3 linked regions of the Tribolium castaneum genome follow. The protein of the gene in region 1 interacts with the protein of each later gene in a pairwise test. Links are inferred from orthologs where the notes say so. Each region holds a gene or a part of one and is shown in the gene's direction. Other genes may lie near its edges.

Region 1 (7,858 bases):
AATCGGAAGTTATGTGCTGGAAGTTTTCTTCTTTCTCTCTAATCGTTTTGTGTAAGTTTTCAATCACGCTTTCTGTGTTTTCCTTCTCTTTGATTAGTTTGACGATTTCGTTGCCTTTGCTTTCGACTAGTTGGCGATTTTCCGATTCTGAATTCTTGACAATTTCGAGTTCTTCAGTCAAGTGGTTATTGCTCTCTTCCAACTGTTCGATTTTCATTTGAAGACTCTTATTATCATTTTCCAAGTCGGCAAGAGTTCGATTCAAGTCGATAATTGCATTATTAAGACGAGAATTTTCCTCCAAATCTCCAAACTTCTCCAATTTGGCATCGAGTTGCTCCTTTTCGCTTTGCAATTGTTCGTAGGTCTCGGCTAAAACATCACGGTTATTCTCAATCTCTTTAATCTTCATATTCAGGTTCAAATTTTCCTGCTTCAATTGTTCCATCTTCTCCATGACTTCTCTTCGTTCAACCGTAAACAACTCGATTTTCTGAAGCAATTCGGACGTTTCTTCAGTCAATTCGTTAACACTTTCGTTCAAATCGACTTGTGGAAGATTCTCTTCGCTTGCTTTCAAATTACCACCAACCAAATCTAAATTCTTGTGATAGGCTTCCAGTTCGAGTTTTTCCTGCTGGGTCAGATTTTCAACAATTTCGATACTTTCAGCCGACGAAACTTTTTCCGCACTCAACTTTTCCAATTTATCGATCAATTCCATATTTTCCTGAATGTAGTGTTCCAATTTTGTTGCCACTTCTTGTTTTTCCTTCTTCAATTGTTCCAACTGTTCACCCAACTGTTCTTTCTCTTTACAAATTCTTTCGTTTTCTTCAACTAACTGTCTCTTCTCACTTTCAACACGTTCGAGTTGCTCCTCAAACTGAATGGAAACCATTTCAGACTTGACTTGACCGTTCAATTTCTCGTTCAGATTGTCGATTTCGGTTTTCGATCGCGAAATTTCTACCAAAAAAAAAACACTTAATTATTGTACAAGACATTAAAACAACTCACCGGATTCTAAAATTGAAATAATCTTGTCCTTTTCCTCCAACATTCTCTCGTGATCTTGGATTTTATTTTCCAACTCATTTTCACGTTCTGTTTCAGAACCTAAAACCGGTAATTCCCCCAAATTGTTTAATTTCGCACAATTTTTTACCTTTGTTGGAATCAGATTCCACCAACTTCAACTGTAGACTTCCCTTCTCCTCCTCCAATTCGGCGATTTTCTGACTCAAACGGCTATTTTCCGCCTCGAGTTTAACAATTTCCGCATTGGCGTCGCTCATTTTTTTGAACGACTCGATTTTCTTGGTCAATTCTTTAACTTTGGATTTGTGCTGTGCCTTGACCTTGATCATGTTTTTATTGGCTTCTTCCAATTGTTTTTTCAGCTTGGCCACCTCTTCGCTTTCTTGACTCTCCTCCAATTTCACCTCCAACTCTCTTATTTTATCCAAGAGACGCGAATTTTCCGTCTTTAAATCCAGTTCTAAATCTTCGGCTTTCTCACTTATTTGTTTTTCTAAATTGGCATTGGTTTCCTGTAGTTCGGCAATTTCGTAATTTTTGAGCCTCAAATCTTCGAGGAGTTTCATTTGGCGAGCTTTCATTTCCGCCTCCAAGGCCACAAAGTTCTCCTGCATTTTCCTCATCTGTTCCTTGGTCTCGTCCAACGTATCCAGAGTGTTTTTCCCTTTCCGACTCAAATTTTCCGTCATCAAGGTGATAGCTTTAGTTCTGGCATCAATGACCGAATCCTTCTCCTTCAAATTTTCTTGCAAGTCAAGGACGTTCGTTTCCAGTTTCTGCACCTTAGCCAAAAGGTCACTAATGCGTTTTTCCTTAGTCAATAAAACAGCATACAACTCCTGGGCATTGGAATTCTCACTATAGTCAATTTTCGGGTCTTGAAGCGATAAATTAAGAGGCGACTGACTGATTAAATGTTGCGAATCGTCTAATTGTGCCTTGAGCTGCGTCACCATTTCCTCAATCCCTTTCTGACTCTTCCCCCTTTCAGCAAGTCTCACCTTATTCTGCTCGACTTGCTGTCTCAGGAGGTTAATTTTTTGGCTTGCGGGAATGTCTAGTGTTTTTTTGGCGCCGTTATCGCTGGACTTCTTCGCCCGACGTTTCGACAAAGTGTTCATATACTCATCGACTTTTTCCTGCGTTACGTTAGTTTGCTCATTTTTCCGGATCATTTCCTTCAGTTGTGCGATCAAGACTTGCTGTTGCTCGAATTGGTCTTTAAGATCCGACAGTTCTTGACTGGAACCGGGGGGCGCCCCCGGATCGGGGCCCCCGCCTGGGTCCTGTCCAGGACTCTGAGACATGCTTGCTACCTTAAAGCACCCCCCAAATTAAGGCGAGACACACCAAAGGGCCCCTAATACCTTATTTTCGCCACAATATGTTAACTGGAAGAAAAGTGGTGTTTATTTGCTGACACTTGACGTTACACGTCACGTCGCTACCAACAAAGCGGCCCGAAAATTACTAATTTGACACGGAAAAGGGGGCTGTTTAGGTTGGGTTCTTTGTGGTTTCGCTTGATTTTGGCCAAATTTGCGTAATTCTGGCCGCGGGGGCGCCAAAATGGGGGAATTGGGTCAGGGTTTGAAGCACACGTGACATAACCTCTCGATCAAAACAATCACGGTTTTATCGGATAAGTTAATTGTTATCAGTACTTCACATGCCATGCTGAAGAAATGTCCGAATCTAAGAGGGACAACCATGCTAAAGACGGAATCATTGATTTCACGGCCGGTTTTTTGGGTAATTATCACGTGTTAGGGGATTTGAACCCGAAAAAAGTGTTTTTCAAGGGGGCATCGCGTTGGTTTACGTCGGCCAGCCCCTGGACACCGTCAAGGTAAAAATGCAGACGTTTCCAAGCTTATACAACAACATGATTGATTGTTTCATGAAAACGTTACGCGCAGATGGAATTTATCGCGGTTTGTATGCCGGTACAGTCCCGGCTTTGGCGGCAAATATTACCGAAAATTCCGTTTTGTTTCTTTGTTACGGCTTTTGCCAGAAATTTATTCAAAAAGTTAGTTATACCGAACACGTGGCTGATCTAAGCATGATGCAAAATGCCACAGCGGGTTTTTTGGCCTCGTTTTTCTCTTCGGTGGCGATTTGCCCCACGGAACTTCTCAAATGTAAGCTCCAAGCGATGTTTGAGACGCAAAAACAGCAAGAAATGCAAGGGTTCAAAGTGGTCAGAGTGGGGCCCATGAAGCTGGCAGCGCAAATATTGAAGACCGAAGGGCCTTTGGGGTTTTTTCACGGGCTTGTGCCCACGTTAGTTAGGGAAATGCCGGGGTATTTTTTCTTTTTTGGGACTTATGAAGGTAAAATCATCGAGTGACCCGTGACTTCGAAATTAAGTTGGCAGTGCTCAGGTACCGTTGAGTGATTTGAAAACAGTTACGTAGTTTTCATGTTGCCAACTTAATTGCGAAGCCATGGGCCCTTCGGCAAGTTGGTAACTGTGTGATTTAGGGACTAGGACTTTGCTAGCGCGTCCGGGGGAGTCCAAGGACGATATAGGCTTGTTTAAGACAATGGTGGCGGGGGCTTTGGGGGGCATGTCTTTCTGGACGTTGACTTATCCAGTCGATGTGGCCAAAAGTCGGATTCAAGTCACTAATAGTAAAATGAATATGGTTGCAATGATTTTGCAAATATCGAGGCGGGAAGGCTTCAGACAGCTTTATAACGGGTTGACTCCAACGTTAGTTCGGACTATTCCATCCACTGCCACTCTTTTTGCAACTTACGAGTATTCCAAAAGATTCCTCCACCAAATTTTCTGATTAGAAATAAAACTCGAACATAGTTTTTATATTTTATTTTTATCCAATAAATAAATAAATAGGAATACTGGGGTAATACTGTCCGGCCTGTCTTTTATTATTCTCCTCACTTCAGATAATTGCTATTTTCGGGATCGAACTCGGGGGACGATTCTATGGCTTTTTTCAGTAGTTCCCCGAAAAGACTCGGACTGTTAAGGATTGTAGGGAAATCGCGGGACCGGTCAATCCCCGAAAAATCGGAATCCAGGGCTGGCACCCTAACAAATGAATCAAACTTTTGCACTTTAATTGTTTTAATGACTACCTGTACTCGTCACTGAGACGGCTTAAAATGTCTCGCTTTTGCTGCCCGCGGCACACGGGAGAAAAAATGTGTGTCCTTAAATAATTAATTAATTAAATAAACCTGATATTATGTAATTAGTACCTGCAATGATTTTTTTTCAGCAAGTTGGGGTTTTTGACCAAAGCCCCGTGGGTAATTTCAATAGATAGGAAAATAATGCTGACGAATAACAACAAAGTGATTCGGTGGTCCGTAATGGACTTTTTCATTGTTGTGGAACCCTAAAAATCAGATAACAATTTGTTTGTGTTTTGCTCCAAAACACTTGAGAAGTCAAGTTAGATAAGAATTGGAAGTTTTCAAGTAATAAAGATTCGGTCAATTGTTGCGTCAGATTGTTACAATTAGTTGTTTTTATGCAATAAAGAGTGTTATCGCAAAAATTTCAAAATAATGTGTAAGAAAGAGGGTGATAAGGAGAAAATCAAAAAAGACGACTCAGACAGACTTACCATTGTTTGGCTTGGAGACAGGCGGTGAAGACGGACAATCTGGCTCCCAAATTCTTGGGCCACCTCTTTTAAATCAAGAGCGGGGTCTTGCGCAAACCAAGTGCAACAATTTTAACGCACAATTAAGCTTTATATTGCGGCTCTTCCCATATTACATTATCCGAGGCAAATAACGCGCTACGTGTTTTGATGAAAATTTTGCCGCGTCATTGCGTATTTGCTGCAATAACTCGTTTTGAATTAATTTGTTTATAACAATTGGTTCGAATCTGGCGCCCGTGTGGGGACGCTTGCGCGTTACACCTGTCATCCACCATTATTGCCGTCTATTGTCATATTCTGTCATCGAAGAAAAACCGTGAAAAATGCCGAATATTAAACTGCGTTCCTCCGACGGTGAAACGTTCGAGGTGGACGTGGAGATCGCGAAATGTTCAGTGACCATCAAGACCATGCTGGAGGACCTGGGGATGGACGAGGAGGAAGAGGAAGTGGTGCCTCTCCCCAATGTCAATTCGGCGATTTTGAAGAAAGTTATCCAGTGGTCCACTTATCACAAAGATGATCCTCCACCGCCCGAAGACGACGAGAACAAGGAGAAACGCACGGATGATATTTCGTCATGGGACGCCGATTTTCTCAAAGTGGACCAAGGCACTTTGTTTGAGCTGATCCTGGCGGCGAATTACCTGGACATCAAGGGGCTGCTCGATGTGACTTGCAAGACAGTCGCCAACATGATCAAGGGCAAGGCCCCCGAGGAGATCCGCAAGACTTTCAACATCAAGAACGACTTCACAGCCTCCGAGGAGGAGCAAGTGCGCAAGGAGAACGAATGGTGTGAGGAGAAGTAAACTCGTATTTTTTTTATTTAAGATTATTTCCAAAATTGCGTTCATTGTTTTATTGTAATATGATTATTTAAATCAAACGCCATTTCGACCCAACTGGTTGTTTATTTGCACCTTAACCAATTATAATAGGTGTCGGATAAAATATAGTATACAAGTGTTAAAATACGCCATAATCATCGCAAGACCCCGCCTCGTTCCCGCAAATGCGGGCCCCCATAAACGCCCCCATTAAAACCGCTACAAATATCATCGTTAAAAACCCTAAAAAGTACAGCCACGTCCTGGAGGAACACAAGGACCACCAACACCTACAACTCGCAATTAATTGGCAGCTTTTTAACCACAACTAACCCTCGGGTAAAACACCCATTTCGCTTGATTTCATCCTCCACGAAATTTTCCGACTTGGATAGTTGTTCATTCATTAATTTAATAATTTTGCATTTGATGTGTTTGAGCTTCTGTTTCGTTTCCAAAACGTCGCAGTCACAATCATCATCACGGCTCATTAAACTGGAATTGTGTTAGGATTAAGGAAATTCAATTTGTAGTGTGCAAATTGAGATTATGACGTTAAGGTGTCATTTTGGGCACGTAACTTCAGTGTCACAAAGGGACCCCGAATTACGAGCTAAACCACTGACCTGGTTTCTTGCCAATTCTGTTTGTTTGTCAGTGTACATCAGCGATTTTTGAATAAACTGTTTTTTATCAAATAACTAGTTTTTTAATTTAATAATCCCGCATTCTTGCATTTGTTCCACAACAATGATTGTATTATTTTAATTCTCCAAGTGCAAGTTTTTGTAGTTTTGAAAAAAGTAGGAATATTTTCGGCGTCAGCAGGGTGGTGAAACCTAAATGCACCAAGCCAAGTATAGGCGCCAAATTCAAAATCGACTGTAGTTCGGCTTGCTATCGCAGATGTCGCACACACGTATAGTCAATTTTAGCGAAGCTACCTATAATATCGGCAGAAATTAACAGTGGACCTGTGACAGTTGCCATTGTGTAAATCGCCATTTTGTGCTTGGTTTGTTTGGTGTTCGCCCTCGGCTTTGTTTTATGTGAAATTAGTACTGTTTTGTGGTTTTTTTCGTGTGTGTGCTTTTTTGAACTTTTTTATTGTGGGAATATAAATAATTTGATGGATCAATCATTAGTTTATAGTTATCGTATCGTGTATATTGACTAGTGATAATAAATTTTTATTACAAGTTTATTGTCTTTATTTATTCTCATATTTTATTTTTCGTATTCTTTGTAAATATTCAGCAACAATAGTTGTCTAACATCAGAAAGTGTTATTAGCAACTATTGTTGTGAATATTTACAAACAATACGAAAAATGCAATCAAACTTTAAAAGAAAAGTAACTACGGGCAATTCAAATCGCCCGCCGATAACGCTTAGTACGCGCTGGCAACAATAGATGTGCTAGTGACACTTTCGCTCTATCCGGACAAGGACAGATGCGTTTCTGTAAAACCTGTTATTCTGTGGGCGTCAGGTTGGTAGCACGCGCCATAGTCAACGTAACCTCAACTTTAGTCTCATTTAATTCAAAAATATCTCAACAAATCGAGCGAGAATGTCCACAAGATGGTAATTTTCGAGCACATTGTTAGCCCTAGTGCGAGTCTTGCCCCTTAGGTACCCCATTTATCAAAGAGGGGGCCCGCAGTTGCGCGTCTTCTTGCCCAACTTTTGGCTCAAATTGGTGCGCCCCACGCACGAACAGCCGCCTAACATCGTCCAGTTCTCATGTTCGATGCAAATGACCAAATACGACATTAGGAATTATTTAGAAAAAATCTACAATATTAAGGTGGTTGATGTGCGGACTCGGATCGCTCTGGGGCCAACGAGACGCGTCCCGGCCAAGGGTTACGTGGTGAAAGACGAGGATATTAAATACGCGTACGTGACTCTGGTAAGTGTTTATTAAAATTCGATTTTGAACGGGAAGTATTTGTGGTCGGCGTGGTTGCTCTGGGGGCTGCATCTTTGATTCTTGTTGCACGCGTCCAAATACGCAATGTCGTCGGTATCTAGCCGAAAGTCGAAAATGTCGATGTTTTCGGCGATGCGTGACGGGGTGACCGATTTCGGAATGACCGAAATCCCCAATGAAACTAGATAGTTTAAGACGATTTGTGCGGGCGTTTTGTTGTATTTTTTCGCCATTTCGATGACTTTGGGGTCGTGGATCGTGGGGGTGGGGAAATTGGGGCGCAGGCCGACGTAATTGCTTCGTCCCAAGGGGCAAAAACCGACAACCACAATGTCGCGGTCTTTGCAAAATTTGATCAGTTTTTTCTGGTTGATGTTGGGGTTGACCTCGACTTGGTTAACCACCGG
Region 2 (6,682 bases), on another chromosome or scaffold:
TTTATCTCGTGAAAGAGCGAAAAAGTAAGTTCACTTTACAACGAAACAATTTTGAACTATGGAATTTGGTTGGTAAAGCGAAAAATTGAAATTTCTTGCACTCTGTCTTTGAGTGCAGCTCGTAAAAAATTCATTTCAAACCGTCCAGTGAATTGAATCGTAACTAATCGATTTTGCCATAAATAATCCTTGAACAAGATGTAAGAAAATACGCGGTTCATGACAACGCAATCTATTCCGGTGATGGTAAATTAAATGTAAATTAATTATTGTTGTCACAAGCAAAATTTTTCAAAATCACGTTTTCTAGACAGCTCGTTTAATTAATTGACGTCATTAGGCGCCGCAATTAAAGAGGGAAAACGTTGCGGTTTCTCCATTTCATAAAATTCGGCTTTTACGCTCGATTAATTAGAGGTTTTGTGTCGATATTAGATCGCGATTAGACAACAGAAAAAACAATTTCATGGAACCGTCCTCGGAAACTCGTCTTGTCTCCTAGCAGTCATTCTAGTTCAAGTGTACCGTGTATGTTAATTTTGTCCTGAATGTCGAGCGTGCTTTATTTATGAGATTATTCTTATGTTGAGGAAAAAGAGAGTCACCAGATGAACATTTTTCCCGCCTTTAGTACATCTAAGCTCGCCTCGGATATCAGAAGTAAATCAGCGATTTGTGCGTGCACAAGGCGTTCAACTTTCTACAATTTACATTTAATTATTGTCTTATCATTTTTTCGTCGACAGTTATCTTTTATGTTTATGTTCAGTTTTATTTGTTCTCAGACGGGTTCATTAGGTGCATAAAAATAGCGACAAACGGTATTTGTAATTTCCTTTATCTAATATGTTGATTACTGAGGTTTAGCTAAATTTAGCTCGTATCTCGCTTATTTCGGAACATAACGGTAATTTTGTTTGCAGATGTCTGTTCCATCGTAATCGTTTGTGTTTCCTTTACAGCAGTATCCAATGACAATATTATCACCGTACGATACGGCCAGGAAGAAAGAGCCTTCGGCTACTTTTAACGCGGAGAGAGAAACATGTCTGAAATGCTTCGAAAAATGGAGCGAAACCGACCAAGTCGAATTCGTAGAAAATTTACTAGCTAGGATGTGTCACTACCAACACGGGCACATCAATTCCTATTTGAAACCCATGCTGCAGCGAGATTTCATATCTCTTTTACCAAGTAAGTCCCGAAACGTTAGTCCCAGCGGATTTTTTGAGTTGTCTTTCAGAGCAAGGATTGGACCACGTCGCTGAGAATATATTGTCATATTTGGAGGCGGACAGTTTACGGAACGCCGAGTTGGTCTGCAAAGAATGGTTTAGGGTAATCTCAGAGGGTATGCTTTGGAAGAAGCTAATCGAGCGGAAAGTTCGGACGGATTCACTGTGGAGAGGTTTAGCCGAACGCAGACAATGGTACTGAATTAAACCCGAGTTAGTGGGTGTTTAACTTGGCAAATTTCAGGATACAATATTTATTCAAACCACGACCTGGCGAGAACCATCGTCCCCATTCGTTCTATCGAGCCCTTTTCCCGAAAATCATCCGCGATATCGAAAGCATAGAAAGTAATTGGCGGAACGGTCGGCACATCTTGCAGCGAATCAACTGCCGGTCCGAAAATAGCAAAGGGGTTTACTGTTTGCAGTACGACGATCAGAAAATCGTGTCGGGTCTCAGGGACAATACTATTAAAATATGGGACAGAAGTACATTGCAGTGCACTAAAGTTCTTATAGGACATACGGGATCGGTTTTGTGTTTACAATACGACGATAAAGTTATTATTAGTGGTTCTAGTGATTCAACTGTGCGCGTCTGGAACGTTAACACGGGAGAAATGGTCAATACGCTCATACATCATTGCGAAGCCGTCCTTCATCTTAGATTCAATAACGGAATGATGGTCACCTGTTCAAAAGTAAGTCGAAAACCGTATTGGAACTTCATTAGCGAACCAAGTGAAAACCGCCCGCAATTAAACCACCGTTAGAAACTCGGTCTTGGATTTTTTCTTGAAATATGTGTCAGACTCGTCAGCAGATCGCGATCGTAAATTCCCACTGTTTGAACTCGAATACAATTCGGATTAAAAACGGACAAATATTCCCCGTTATCGTTACTTCCACCATTAAAACAATAAATCATGGATTATATCTGGATATTGCAACTACAAAGGAATATTTATATGATAATGAAACGCAAAGTTATTTCGGGGTCACATCCGAGAATGAGACATTAACATAAAAACTCCACAATTGAAAAAAGAAAGCACTCTAATTTTGTCCAAGAATTTATTTTATGGTGCACTAGCTCTAATTGGACACTTAATTACAAATTTCACACTTCCTGTTTGGGTTTTATTTTTAACAAAAACGAAAGTAAATGCATCGCATGAAATTCGTTTTTATAAATTACGAAACGGTACGTGATTGCCAATTAATTTTCGTTCGAAAATTAATTCAAGTTCCTTCCCCAATAAAACCTTGGGCTATTATTAGTTACTTTTTACTAATAATAGCAATGGATTTATTATTGGCATAAGCTAAAGCTTGGCCAATTGTACTGAAAACGGACAAAGCTTGTGGGTGGAACAAATCCGATCCTAAAAAAGGGGCGCGCTTTAAAAGGTCAAAGTTATTCATTAAAGTAGCGCTCGTATTGGCGTTTAATTAAAAAAAAGGCATTGCACAAATGATTCTTACAAAAAAATGAGCTATAAAATGTAAATTTGGTTTAACCTAATTATTTTTGAAAAGGTAACGTGTGAGAATGGGTTTTTAACGCCGTTTTGCGAATTAATGTTTGTTTTTTTCAGGATCGCTCGATAGCTGTGTGGGACATGACATCGCCGAACGAGATCACCCTGCGGCGGGTGCTGGTGGGGCACAGGGCCGCCGTGAACGTGGTCGATTTCGACGAGAAATACATAGTTTCGGCGTCGGGTGACCGAACGATAAAAGTGTGGAACACCTCAACTTGTGAGTTTATGCGAACGTTAAACGGACATAAACGGGGGATCGCCTGTTTGCAATACCGAGATAGGTTGGTCGTAAGCGGAAGTTCGGACAATACCATAAGGTAAACATTGCGGTTAAATGCGCGATAAAGAAACCACAGAACACGATCGATTTCCAGGTTGTGGGATATCGAAGGTGGCGCTTGTCTGCGGGTGCTTGAAGGGCACGAAGAGTTAGTGCGTTGTATCCGTTTCGATTCGAAACGGATTGTCAGCGGGGCTTATGATGGGAAAATTAAAGTTTGGGATCTCGTTGCCGCGCTTGATCCCAGAACGCCGGCCAGTGCTTTATGTCTTCGAACATTGGTAGTAAGTTAATAGTACAGTCATTAAATTCATCTAATATCATAACGCAGCGCTTGACATTTCATTTAATAGAGTTAATAAAGGGCTAATTTTTAACTGAGCGATTGCAGGTAAAGTTGTTATGCTTGCTTGTCCTTTAATGGGCCCACTTAGTGTTTTTTATTTCAAGTTACGAAATAATGTTACGGGTTAATATGTACTTCACTTCACTGTTCGCTGATAAGTGATAATTGTTGAGAAATAGTATCATTGCTGGGATAAGTGACCATTTTCTCGATGAAAAACGCATCAGTATCATAAATATTTTGTAACATGAGCAGAAAATGGATGGCACTTTAATTATAATTAGAGATAGAATCGAAAGAACAATTTTTTGTTTTGGCCATTTGTACACGAAATCTTTCTTTTTCCATAATAGTCGCGATTTGGCAGGTATTTTGCACTTGAAGTTAAATGCTTGTTGCGTTAGTTTAAGGAACCGTGCTAAATGAGCCTATTAGGTGTTCATACCATTGATGTCTTAAATGATTTTTTGACTGATTGCATTCATAAAGTTTCGGTGGGTGTGAGACCCATTCCCGGGTGTCTAAACGTTGGTGTTTCTTGTTTTCAGGAACACACAGGTAGAGTATTCAGGTTGCAGTTTGACGAGTTTCAAATAGTGAGCAGTTCGCACGATGATACAATTCTTATTTGGAATTTCCTCAACTCAATTGGAGAGAGAAACACGAAATCGCCTTCGCCCTCTCGTACGTTGGTTGTGTGTTATTGTTGATTTTTTAACGTTTCCAATTTCAGCGTTTGAGTAAATTGTCCAGAAGCCAATTTGTCATCATGTGTGTGTGAGTGTGGAAGAGACAATTTTGGAGCAAGTGCTCGCATAAACTGACTAGGAATATAAAATTTAGAAAATTATTTGTAATAATTGTGTATAATGTTATATTTAAATTGGATATATTTATGTCTTAATTTATAATATGAAGCGTATTTGACATAATTGGAGTTCGTTTTTTACGTGTTTCGTCTTTATGAAAAATTTTTGCTGTTGTGTTTCCTAGACCGAATTAAGATGTCGACACAAAACCTCTGTTGATCTGTTGTAACCTAAATGAGTTTAACTACGAATTATGTGATAGTACGTTTAAAACATCTAAAGTGCGGTTTTCATCGTGTGCGCCATTAATCTTGTTGACGTTTTACATTTGTTTTATTTCGTTATCGTTGAATTTGCAAAAATGAACAACTAATTTTAGCTCTCTAGTCTATGAAATTTCAATGATAGGCTACACACGTTATTTTAGGAATCAAGTTGTTTTAAAATTCTCACACTATAGTGCGGTTTCTACAGTTTGTTGGGCTTTCTAGTCTGTAATCATTCTTTGCAAACTTAGAAAGTGAGTTTAGTCGGCAAAAATTGTATAGTAAGTTTTAAATTTATAGGATTTTGGGGTGAATTCAGTGATGATTAATTTTAGTTTAGGATTATTTTACATCATTTTCATCAAGTTGGAAATTGTGATCTATTATTTAGGGTTCTCCATATTTATTATGGGAAAATGATTGCAACCAAAAGTACTTTTTGTTTTGTTTGGTGCATTAATTTAATGAGGCTGCAAGTGTACTGGGATTCCAAGAAGTGGCCACGGGCTGTTCTTGCTATTTATTTTAGACGATTCTGCCAAAATGTAGTATTTCTCCTAGATTAGATTTACAAGTAAACTTATAACGGCTTTTGTGATAAAATCTTACAGTAAAATTTGTATGCCTGTTTTGTACTATAACTGGAATGTACACTATTCATGTTAAAAAAAAACACTATCAATAAGGCACTAAATCATTTTATAGGTTAATGTAAATATTATGAATGTAGTGGTAACATCATTTGCATTTACTATTTTTATTTAGAGTTATTTATATTTTATGCGTGTAAGTAATACATTTTGCTGAGACAAACCCTGGTTTTATTTCGCAATTAAAAACGGAATTATCCCAAAAATTTATTAAATAAAAACAGTACAGTCTTAATTGAGGCAACATTTAGTTAGGCGTTTTCAACATAAAATTAATCTGCAAATAATGCAGGACGTCTTTACTCAGCGGAACATCGCTAAAATATTCCCCAAAGTTCAAACAAATTTTAAATAAACTGTGTTTAACGGCTGCAATAACAGCATTTTTCATCCGATAATTGAAATCGTCCAGAGCTGCGACTTTCCTCGACAAAGACGGGACTTTGTTCAGTTTGTCCAAACTCTGTTTCAACTGAACCAAACTTGATATAATCACAGGCAAGTCCTTCTGAACTATGCCGTATTTATCCTCAACCAACGAAACAGCCGCCAGTTCGGAAATTCCCTGACTTGCCCAAATTATCAATTGTCCATTCCCCAAACACTTCTGAATGTTGACTTGGGGCAACTCCCCAAACAGGAAATTTATTCCAAACAGGATTTTCACGAACGAAACAATTTTCTGGACACTTTCATCAATACTTTTCTTGAACGATTTGACGCTATTTGAAGATCCAGTGTGTGTGACATTCACCACATCCAAGTAATCACTACTCATCGACAAATTTCTTAAATTCCTGAACTTGAGACTCGGATCTGTTTGAGGTGATTGGACCACTGGTGAAAATGGAGTGATGGTTTCGGTTTGTTTCTTCGGTTTTTCTTGCGTTGGTGGTTCTGTAGATTTTTTCAAAAGGTTGGTGTAGTCCGAGAATAGTTTTAGCACACTTTCAGTCAAGGAGTTCCAGTTGTGGGGATGTCCTCCAGGTTGTGATAAAGTGAAGAGTAACTGTCGCCGCATTGGGGACCATTGAGATAATAGGAATAAGTCCAAACATGCTAGGTTTTGAATTATTGGTAGATTATCCATGTTTATGGCTTCTTGGAGAGTTAAAATATAAACATTTTCCTTAACAATTGGAAACTGAACCGGTTCGGTGAGGAACAAATGGAAAAAGAATCGCATCAGATTGTTACTGAAGCAATACAAGGTCGCAAACCACCACAAATAAACATAAACTAAAACACTACTCTCGCGTGAAGCTCTGTCCAAATTAACCAAAGCCACAAAACGACTCTCTAATTGATTCCCCCAAAAGTAATAAAATAAAGCAAAATAAAAAGTGGGCCAAACGGCCATTGCCAAACTTTGCTTAAACAACACAGAAACATTGGTGCGAAACTGCAGAAACTTCCGCTGTTGGATAACAGGAAACACTAATTGCTTGGTTGAAACATACACTTTTGTAAAAAAATAAAAACCGGTCCAGAAACCCCCAATTATTAAGAAAAAAACGTCTTCAACTAAACAACTACGATTCTCGTCAATACA
Region 3 (6,682 bases), on another chromosome or scaffold:
TGCCTTTGCATACCCTAGATCGTAGATTATCGGCCAAAATGCGGCGTGTGAAGTGCGACGCCTCCTTGGGGCTCAATTCGTAGTTATTCCGCATTTTGTACAACTGAACGTTCTTCGCAATGTATTCGGCGAATTGGTTGGTGTCGCCTTGCTCCCCCGCGATGGCCATTGCCAGTTTGTTGGACAATTTGTAGAGTTTATCCTCGTCTGAAAAACCGCTAGGGTTGTCGGTCAAAAACGGGGTAAAAACATACCTGTCTTCATGACCATTATGCTGTGAGCGTTGGTCATGTCAGCGGCGATAATCGCGAAATCGTTAAATTTGATTCCAATGAGACAATCCATTTTTTTGAAACTAAAAGAACTGCTTTGTAATGAAAAGTTGAGGTTACGTTTTTGAAATGTCAACTCATGCAATATGGCGCATGTGTTGTTGCCAAATCAATTGCTTGAAATTAAAAAATAATTAATTATTAAATAAATTTTTGAAGAGTAAATAAAGCCACGGCTTACCACATACGGAATTTGTTGCAATAAATGCTTTCAATATTTTTTATATAACTTTTTGGCTTTGGAGGTGGACAAAAAGCGGGAAATTTGGAAGTTCATGCTTAAATGTTGAGTAATTAGTACATAAGTCCACATAAATAGCATGTGTGGGTTTTAATCGAACATACTTCATCTATGAATAACTAATTTAACTGTAAAAATTGTTTTTATCGCATAAAATGGGTTTCATCTGTTGACTGTCAAATTACGTTTTTGATGATATTGCATGATTGAAATTCGTTTGTTACGGCAAAAATATTAAAATTGTGAAGCTCTTATTGATGTATTTGAAAAATTAGCTCAATATTGGTGGGGTTGTTGGGCAAGGTGACTTTTATGCATTCGTCCTTGAAACATGCGCTGTTGCCACATCCTCCCCATCTGACTGTTCATTGTTTTTCTTTACGTCAATTCGCTTCGAACTGTCATTGTAATCAAACATATGTAAAACTCCTCTAATCCGTTTTTCTAAGTTTTGTTAATGTTTTCCGATTATTACAAATGTAAACCAGGTACGTATTGTGTGTTTTTTTCGTGTTGATAATGCATGTTCTTGTGAACAAGTCCATTTGATTATAAAAAAACACAAGAATCCCAGTCAACTGTCGTCATATTAACTCTGAAAAAAATTAAGGATTTTTTTGAGTAATTTCTTCGACTTTTTGGTTTAAAATTCGTGATTTGGTAGTTCCTCCGTTAAAATTAGAAATAGTATTGACAGTGTTGTGATCATGTCAATAAAATTGATACGCAAAAGCAGTGGTAAATTTCCATCCTCACACACGTCCTTGCTAATTTCATAAAAGGGAAAGTAAATGACTAAAAAATGCGAAATTTTAGATATGAACAGTGACAATTTCGCCTGTTTCGGAGATTGCCCAAAGCCAAAAAAATCAAAGACTTCAGAGGAGGAACGAGTCGCGTTTTGGGCTCATCTTCCCTCGATCGTAATCCACGACATTTTCGACTTGTTGAGCAAAAATGACCGCCAGAATGCGTCCCGTGTGTGCAAAAATTGGCGACAGAACATCTTTCATCCAAAGTAAGTCACTTTCTCTTTTGCCCAATATCGCGCTAATATTACAATTCAGGTGGTGGCCGGAGGTCACTTTCAAAATCGAACCGTGCAATATCGAAAGGTCGAAATTTTTCACGTCGGTCTTCGGTCGGATCGTCTCCAGTGCGAAAATTCAAGTGAACACTCTGGCGCCGGAATGCACTGACGAGTTCGTCGCTCTCATCGAAACTCTAAGCGAAAATAACAATTTAAAAGAACTGATTATCGAACCCACGCATTGCCATTTCGATATCGCGAGATACAGCACCAAATCCAGGTACGACGACCCCAAAAAAAAAAGCCGTCTCACGAAAACCAAATTTCAGTTCGAATATGCATAATGTGATAGCCAAGTTAAAACGATGTCTCCCTAACTTGACCAAATTCAGTATCGGCTGCATCGAAGACTTTGCCCTTTACCTCGACGAGTACTTAACGATTTTAGGGAGCCAGCAGCCGGAAAAAGTTACACTTCTGGGGTTAGCGTCAGTCAAGGATAACCCGAACGAGTACGAAGATTCGTATTTTGAATGTGATTTAATTAAACCTTTTACGAATTTAAAGGTAGGTTTTCGCGGCCAATTGAACCAGTTTGAAACGGCTAATTTTCAGGTGTTGAGCATAGACTTCGACCAACTTTCGGACACCTTCCTCAGCTGCTTGGACGCCTCCACGCACCTGGAGCGCCTCGTGGTGCACTTGCACGGTGTCCGGGAGGGCCACCCTAGCACCACGAACGCCGCTTGGACCATCTTCAAAGCCAAACACCCCAAGTGCGAGCTCCGCGTCAACGTCATCCACTCGTACGACGAAGTCCAACACCTGCACGAAACCATCCTCAGAGACGAAATGCCCCTAACCCACCTCCGGGTGTTCTTTTGCGAACATGTCAACCTCGAAACGTTGGAGTTCATCTCAGCCTTCTACAACCACACGTTGCGGAGCCTCGTTTGGGTCGATTCCATGGGCAACAACGAAGAAACTTGGTCGTTCTTGGCGTCTCAGCGGGATCTGAGCCCCGATCCACTGGTCATGATGTCATGGCTGTGCTCCAATTTGAGCGAATTAGTCTTCTACGGTTACAAATATCGCGAAGAGAATTTGGTCGCCATCGCCAGACTTCGTGGCGAGAAATTGAAGAAGTTGGAAGTCGCTGAAGACGATGTGCTGTTTTCGAACAGCAATTATTTGGGGCAAGAAAATTTAATTGTGAGTAAAAAATCAACAGTTATTCAATCCGATTGTTGTTATTTAGACTGTGGCAAATATGCGAACAGATGTTGTTCAATTGTTTATGTTTGCACAATCAGCATTTTTCCACGGTGATACTGCTTTTAAGGCAAAATAATTGCGAAAGCAGGAAAAAACAAAACTGTGGACTGCCTTGACTCGTAATAACAATTGAATCTTTTATCATGACCGGTTAAGCTAAAACAAGTCAACATCGGCTCAAATGTTTTGTTATTTTTAAGGAACTGACAGGAAAAATTATAATTACGTGCTATTAAATTTAATACACTATAATTATCTGAACTAAATTTTAGACTCTAGTAAAAATATAATTTTGTAATAAAAAGGTGAATTAATAGCTATGAACTACATGTGCGATGGAATAATTCATTTTCTGTTCAAGGATGTAACAGTTAAGTTGCAATAAAGCAAGAATAATTATGTAATAAAAAATAATTAAACAGTACTTTTAACAGTTTTTGTTATCTTAATACTGACATGAAAACATAATCGCTTTGTGCGTACTAGTGCTAATTTTAATGTTAATTGAGTAAACTACGGATATCTAAACGCAAATTGATAATTCTCAGCGACAGTTCTTTGCACACCCCCCCATATTTATCAAAACGCTGGAAATACGGTTCAAGATACAAAAAAAATGTAAGGAACAAAGTTGTAGAGAATTGAATTTTCTACAAAAAAGTCCATATTTCTATCTTCTACAGTTTAGGTATAAAAAAAGTCTCCGTTACTTGACCACGTCTTGAGGGCCTAAACCGTTGATGATAGAGATACGGTCTCGCTGAGTTTTTTAAAGGAAATTTAATTTTCTTCAACTATCTTTTTGTATCTTTAACAGTATTCACAGTGTTTCGAAAAATACGGGACGAATTTTCAGTTTAATTTTTTTTCATATTTCTGATGAAAATTTTAATCAGCAGTTTTTCTTAGTCTGTTAACAGTGCAGAGTTCAACATTTTTGCATTTTTTCCAAGTAATTAGTGAATTGGTTGGATTTAAATAAATTTAAAACGAGTAGGCGCCGAGACGGTACAACATTCGAAGCGCCCTCATTTATACCCTGCCGTACTATTTTTTTGGGTTCAGAAAATTCTGCGATCCTAAGTTATCGTTTTCCGTAGAGGAAACTAAAAAATATTCAAAATTTGGTAAATGTGACAGACGCTGAAGGCGCTTTTATTTAGATTCACAATACTTTTCTTAGTTTTGAACTCGAGCTTTTCCCGTTTTTCAGGATATTCAGCTACACTTGAAGCAGCCGTGGGCCCCCACAAAGACTGCGGATCTCCACCCCGTCATCCGTAATCCGACGGCGGGAGATTCAGACGAGTACTTGTTGCCGATAGTTCTAGCTGACCTGCACTAGTTAAGTACAACAATTAAGCGAAAAAAAAAAAAACAAAAAACTGTAAATAAACCATCTACGTACGACCCAACTGAGAAGAATCTGTTTAGTATTATTTTCGAATGTTATAGTTCAACAACTGCATGTAAATAGAAAAAGGACCATCGTGCGACCTCGAGTTGCGCAGTTTAAATCTACTTAAAGTAATCAAAAAAAGAGAGAGAATTGTTGATTTATTTTTTTAGAATAATCATCGGTTTCGTTGAGTGACTTAAGTTGTTGTGCTGTAAATGTATTGTTTTAAGTCTACTTAAAATGCACTGATTTTACGTTTTCGATTATAAATGTTTTCCGTCGTGTTGGATGAATATTATCACGGTCCAAGCTCGACTAAGAATGACAAGTTGTTATTGTGTTCGATCTAATTAATTTTTGTTGTATAAAGTAGCGATAAGAAGAAAAACATCTGTGATATAAGTAACTCTTATACTTTCGAACAAACAACGATTGTTAACACACAAAATGCAGCTAATAATATTGAAGCTTTCTACCGAGTACCTGTACAAGAAAAATACTGTCGTTTCAATCTCAACTCGCTTAACGGCAAAAGAACTGACAAAACCAAGTTAACAATCGAATAAGAGTGTGAATGTCATTGCAGTGTTCCACCATGCGATAGTGCATTTTATTTTTTAATATGTTGTGCTTGTGATAGGTTCGATTTTAACAAAAAGTATTATTGTGTTGGTATGTAATTCTTTGTTGCCGCCTGCGTAAGCAACAAACACCAACATGTTTATTTTTATGAGATTTGTGTGTTAAAAGACACGTCACATCGAGATCGCTGTTATCGGAAAGGTGCTGTTCCTATATTTACACCACGACCAATAAAAATGAAAGAAATCCGTTTAGACGCCATTCCAATACCTTATTCCGTAGGATAATTAGTAGAGAAATGATATATCGCGTGTTTCTGTCCGGGGCCGTCTACATCTGTGATAGCGAAAATTTTCAAGAGTTCAACCAAAACAAATGCATTTGCTCGGGAAGGACAAACGGCCGCTGATGTGTGTGTGTATAAGCAAAGATCAAGTACCTGAATATCAAAGTGATTATAGCGAAATTAGCCTGCTATTGTAACTCTTAACCCTAGTCCAAAGCGTTGAATATTGAATAAAATCTTTATAATGTAATATAGAGTGTGAATGGGTGACTCCCGAACGCTTCCACCGGGATAGATTGTTTGAAGTTAAGTTGCCATCTTATCATGAAACTATCTGTGATGTACAAGCGGACACATTGTTAACAGCGTACATATGTTAAACAGCGCTCAAATGTTACAATGTAGGTCTCACCAGCTAGATTTAAGTGTTGTCAGAAATTCAATCGAACGACGCAATGAAATCGATATTTTATCAAAAATACGAAAACGTGTAGACAATAAATGGCTAGTAGGACAACACTGCACGATCGAGATGTCCCTCGATTGAAGGCAAGGGACGACAAATTAGTCATTTTTAATTTTCGGTTTGACTAAAATTTTGGAAAATATCTTGCGTATATTTTTGTATCCTTTGAAAGTTTATTTCCTTTATTTTTGGCACTGCGATGTACACTGCAGTTGTCTCTATCTTAATAATTGTAGCACCATTTGTTTATTTTTTATTCACGCACTTTTAATGTTAAATATGGCGAAGCGGTGATATCGTTACTGGCGGTATCATCGGACCCGAATATTTTCATTGTTATTGAGAAAATTTCTTTTTAGATTAGTTAGAATATAGAGAATTATAAAATGTAGCGTTGATTTTATGATATGAAATTTTTGAAATTTATCAATGTACTCCTTCAGTGTTATGAAATGTTCTCAAATTTAATCTCTAATCAGTATGTTATATCAAAAAATTATATTACGTTTTCAATGTAACCTGTAACTCAAATTGGTTAATAAATATTTGGTATCTCACCTTATGTTTTTATACCCTAAACCTCCAACCAAGCTTTCATTATCTATTCAGCTCCAAAACAAACAAAATTTTTATTACAAATTCATTTATTAAAAAATACAAATTCGGCTAAACGTGGTAACACCGTACAATTCTTCACTTAAAACAGGTGGTATTTAATTACATCCTTTGCAGCCGGAGCTCAGCTTCAGAAACGATTTTAAACAAATCAACCTTAACTTGTGTTTGCAGTTGTGGCGGAAACTTTTTAATCGTTTTACACAAAAAATCAAAAAAGTCTTTGAGAGTATCGTCATTTTCCAATCTAGATGACGAAGATGACACCGTTGGCGGTGTGTAATTTTCTCTCTCCAAAACTGGGGGTGAATCCGAATCGTCGTCAGCAGTCTTGATGCTAGTTATCACAATGTTATCCAGAGGGTGAGGGGTCTGGCAAGCCATGCTCCTCGTTCGTCCCCTGAAAACAGAAAAATTAATCAAATTCAAATTTCGGCAAACAGAGGTACCTTTCAG

What was found.
Region 2: the proteins of SkpA (region 1) and slmb interact in a two-hybrid assay, tested with the Drosophila melanogaster proteins (3 studies listed by BioGRID). The link is inferred for Tribolium castaneum from reciprocal best matches to the Drosophila melanogaster genes SkpA and slmb.
Region 3: the proteins of SkpA (region 1) and F-box/LRR-repeat protein 21 interact in a two-hybrid assay, tested with the Drosophila melanogaster proteins (2 studies listed by BioGRID). The link is inferred for Tribolium castaneum from reciprocal best matches to the Drosophila melanogaster genes SkpA and CG4911.

Annotation. Positions count from the first base shown.
Region 1 is NC_087402.1:1,037,471-1,045,328, reverse strand, and holds SkpA (S-phase kinase-associated protein 1), read left to right. Parts: upstream 1-4,930; 5' UTR 4,931-5,008; coding exon 5,009-5,497; 3' UTR 5,498-5,590; downstream 5,591-7,858. Other genes in the region: protein lava lamp, read right to left, coding at 1-969, 1,021-1,119, 1,169-2,348; mitochondrial ornithine transporter 1, read left to right, coding at 2,727-2,793, 2,844-3,377, 3,529-3,842; uncharacterized protein LOC103312555, read right to left, coding at 3,949-4,102, 4,150-4,224, 4,273-4,412, 4,644-4,646; 1,5-anhydro-D-fructose reductase, read right to left, coding at 7,442-7,858; mRpL23 (large ribosomal subunit protein uL23m), read left to right, coding at 7,089-7,102, 7,151-7,430.
Region 2 is NC_087397.1:4,517,908-4,524,589, reverse strand, and holds the end of slmb (supernumerary limbs), read left to right. Parts: intron 1-660; exon of another isoform or gene 661-907; intron 908-962; coding exon 963-1,194; intron 1,195-1,243; coding exon 1,244-1,430; intron 1,431-1,479; coding exon 1,480-1,936; intron 1,937-2,833; coding exon 2,834-3,096; intron 3,097-3,153; coding exon 3,154-3,343; intron 3,344-3,953; coding exon 3,954-4,089; intron 4,090-4,138; coding exon 4,139-4,149; 3' UTR 4,150-4,528; downstream 4,529-6,682. Other genes in the region: nucleoporin NDC1, read right to left, coding at 5,378-6,682.
Region 3 is NC_087396.1:16,683,785-16,690,466, reverse strand, and holds F-box/LRR-repeat protein 21, read left to right. Parts: upstream 1-900; 5' UTR 901-1,030; coding exon 1,031-1,061; intron 1,062-1,152; exon of another isoform or gene 1,153-1,280; coding exon of another isoform or gene 1,281-1,311; intron 1,312-1,389; coding exon 1,390-1,591; intron 1,592-1,640; coding exon 1,641-1,883; intron 1,884-1,932; coding exon 1,933-2,170; intron 2,171-2,218; coding exon 2,219-2,815; intron 2,816-4,091; coding exon 4,092-4,223; 3' UTR 4,224-6,168; downstream 6,169-6,682. Other genes in the region: Prosbeta4 (proteasome subunit beta type-2), read right to left, coding at 14-207, 255-345; uncharacterized protein LOC656448, read right to left, coding at 6,329-6,626, 6,676-6,682.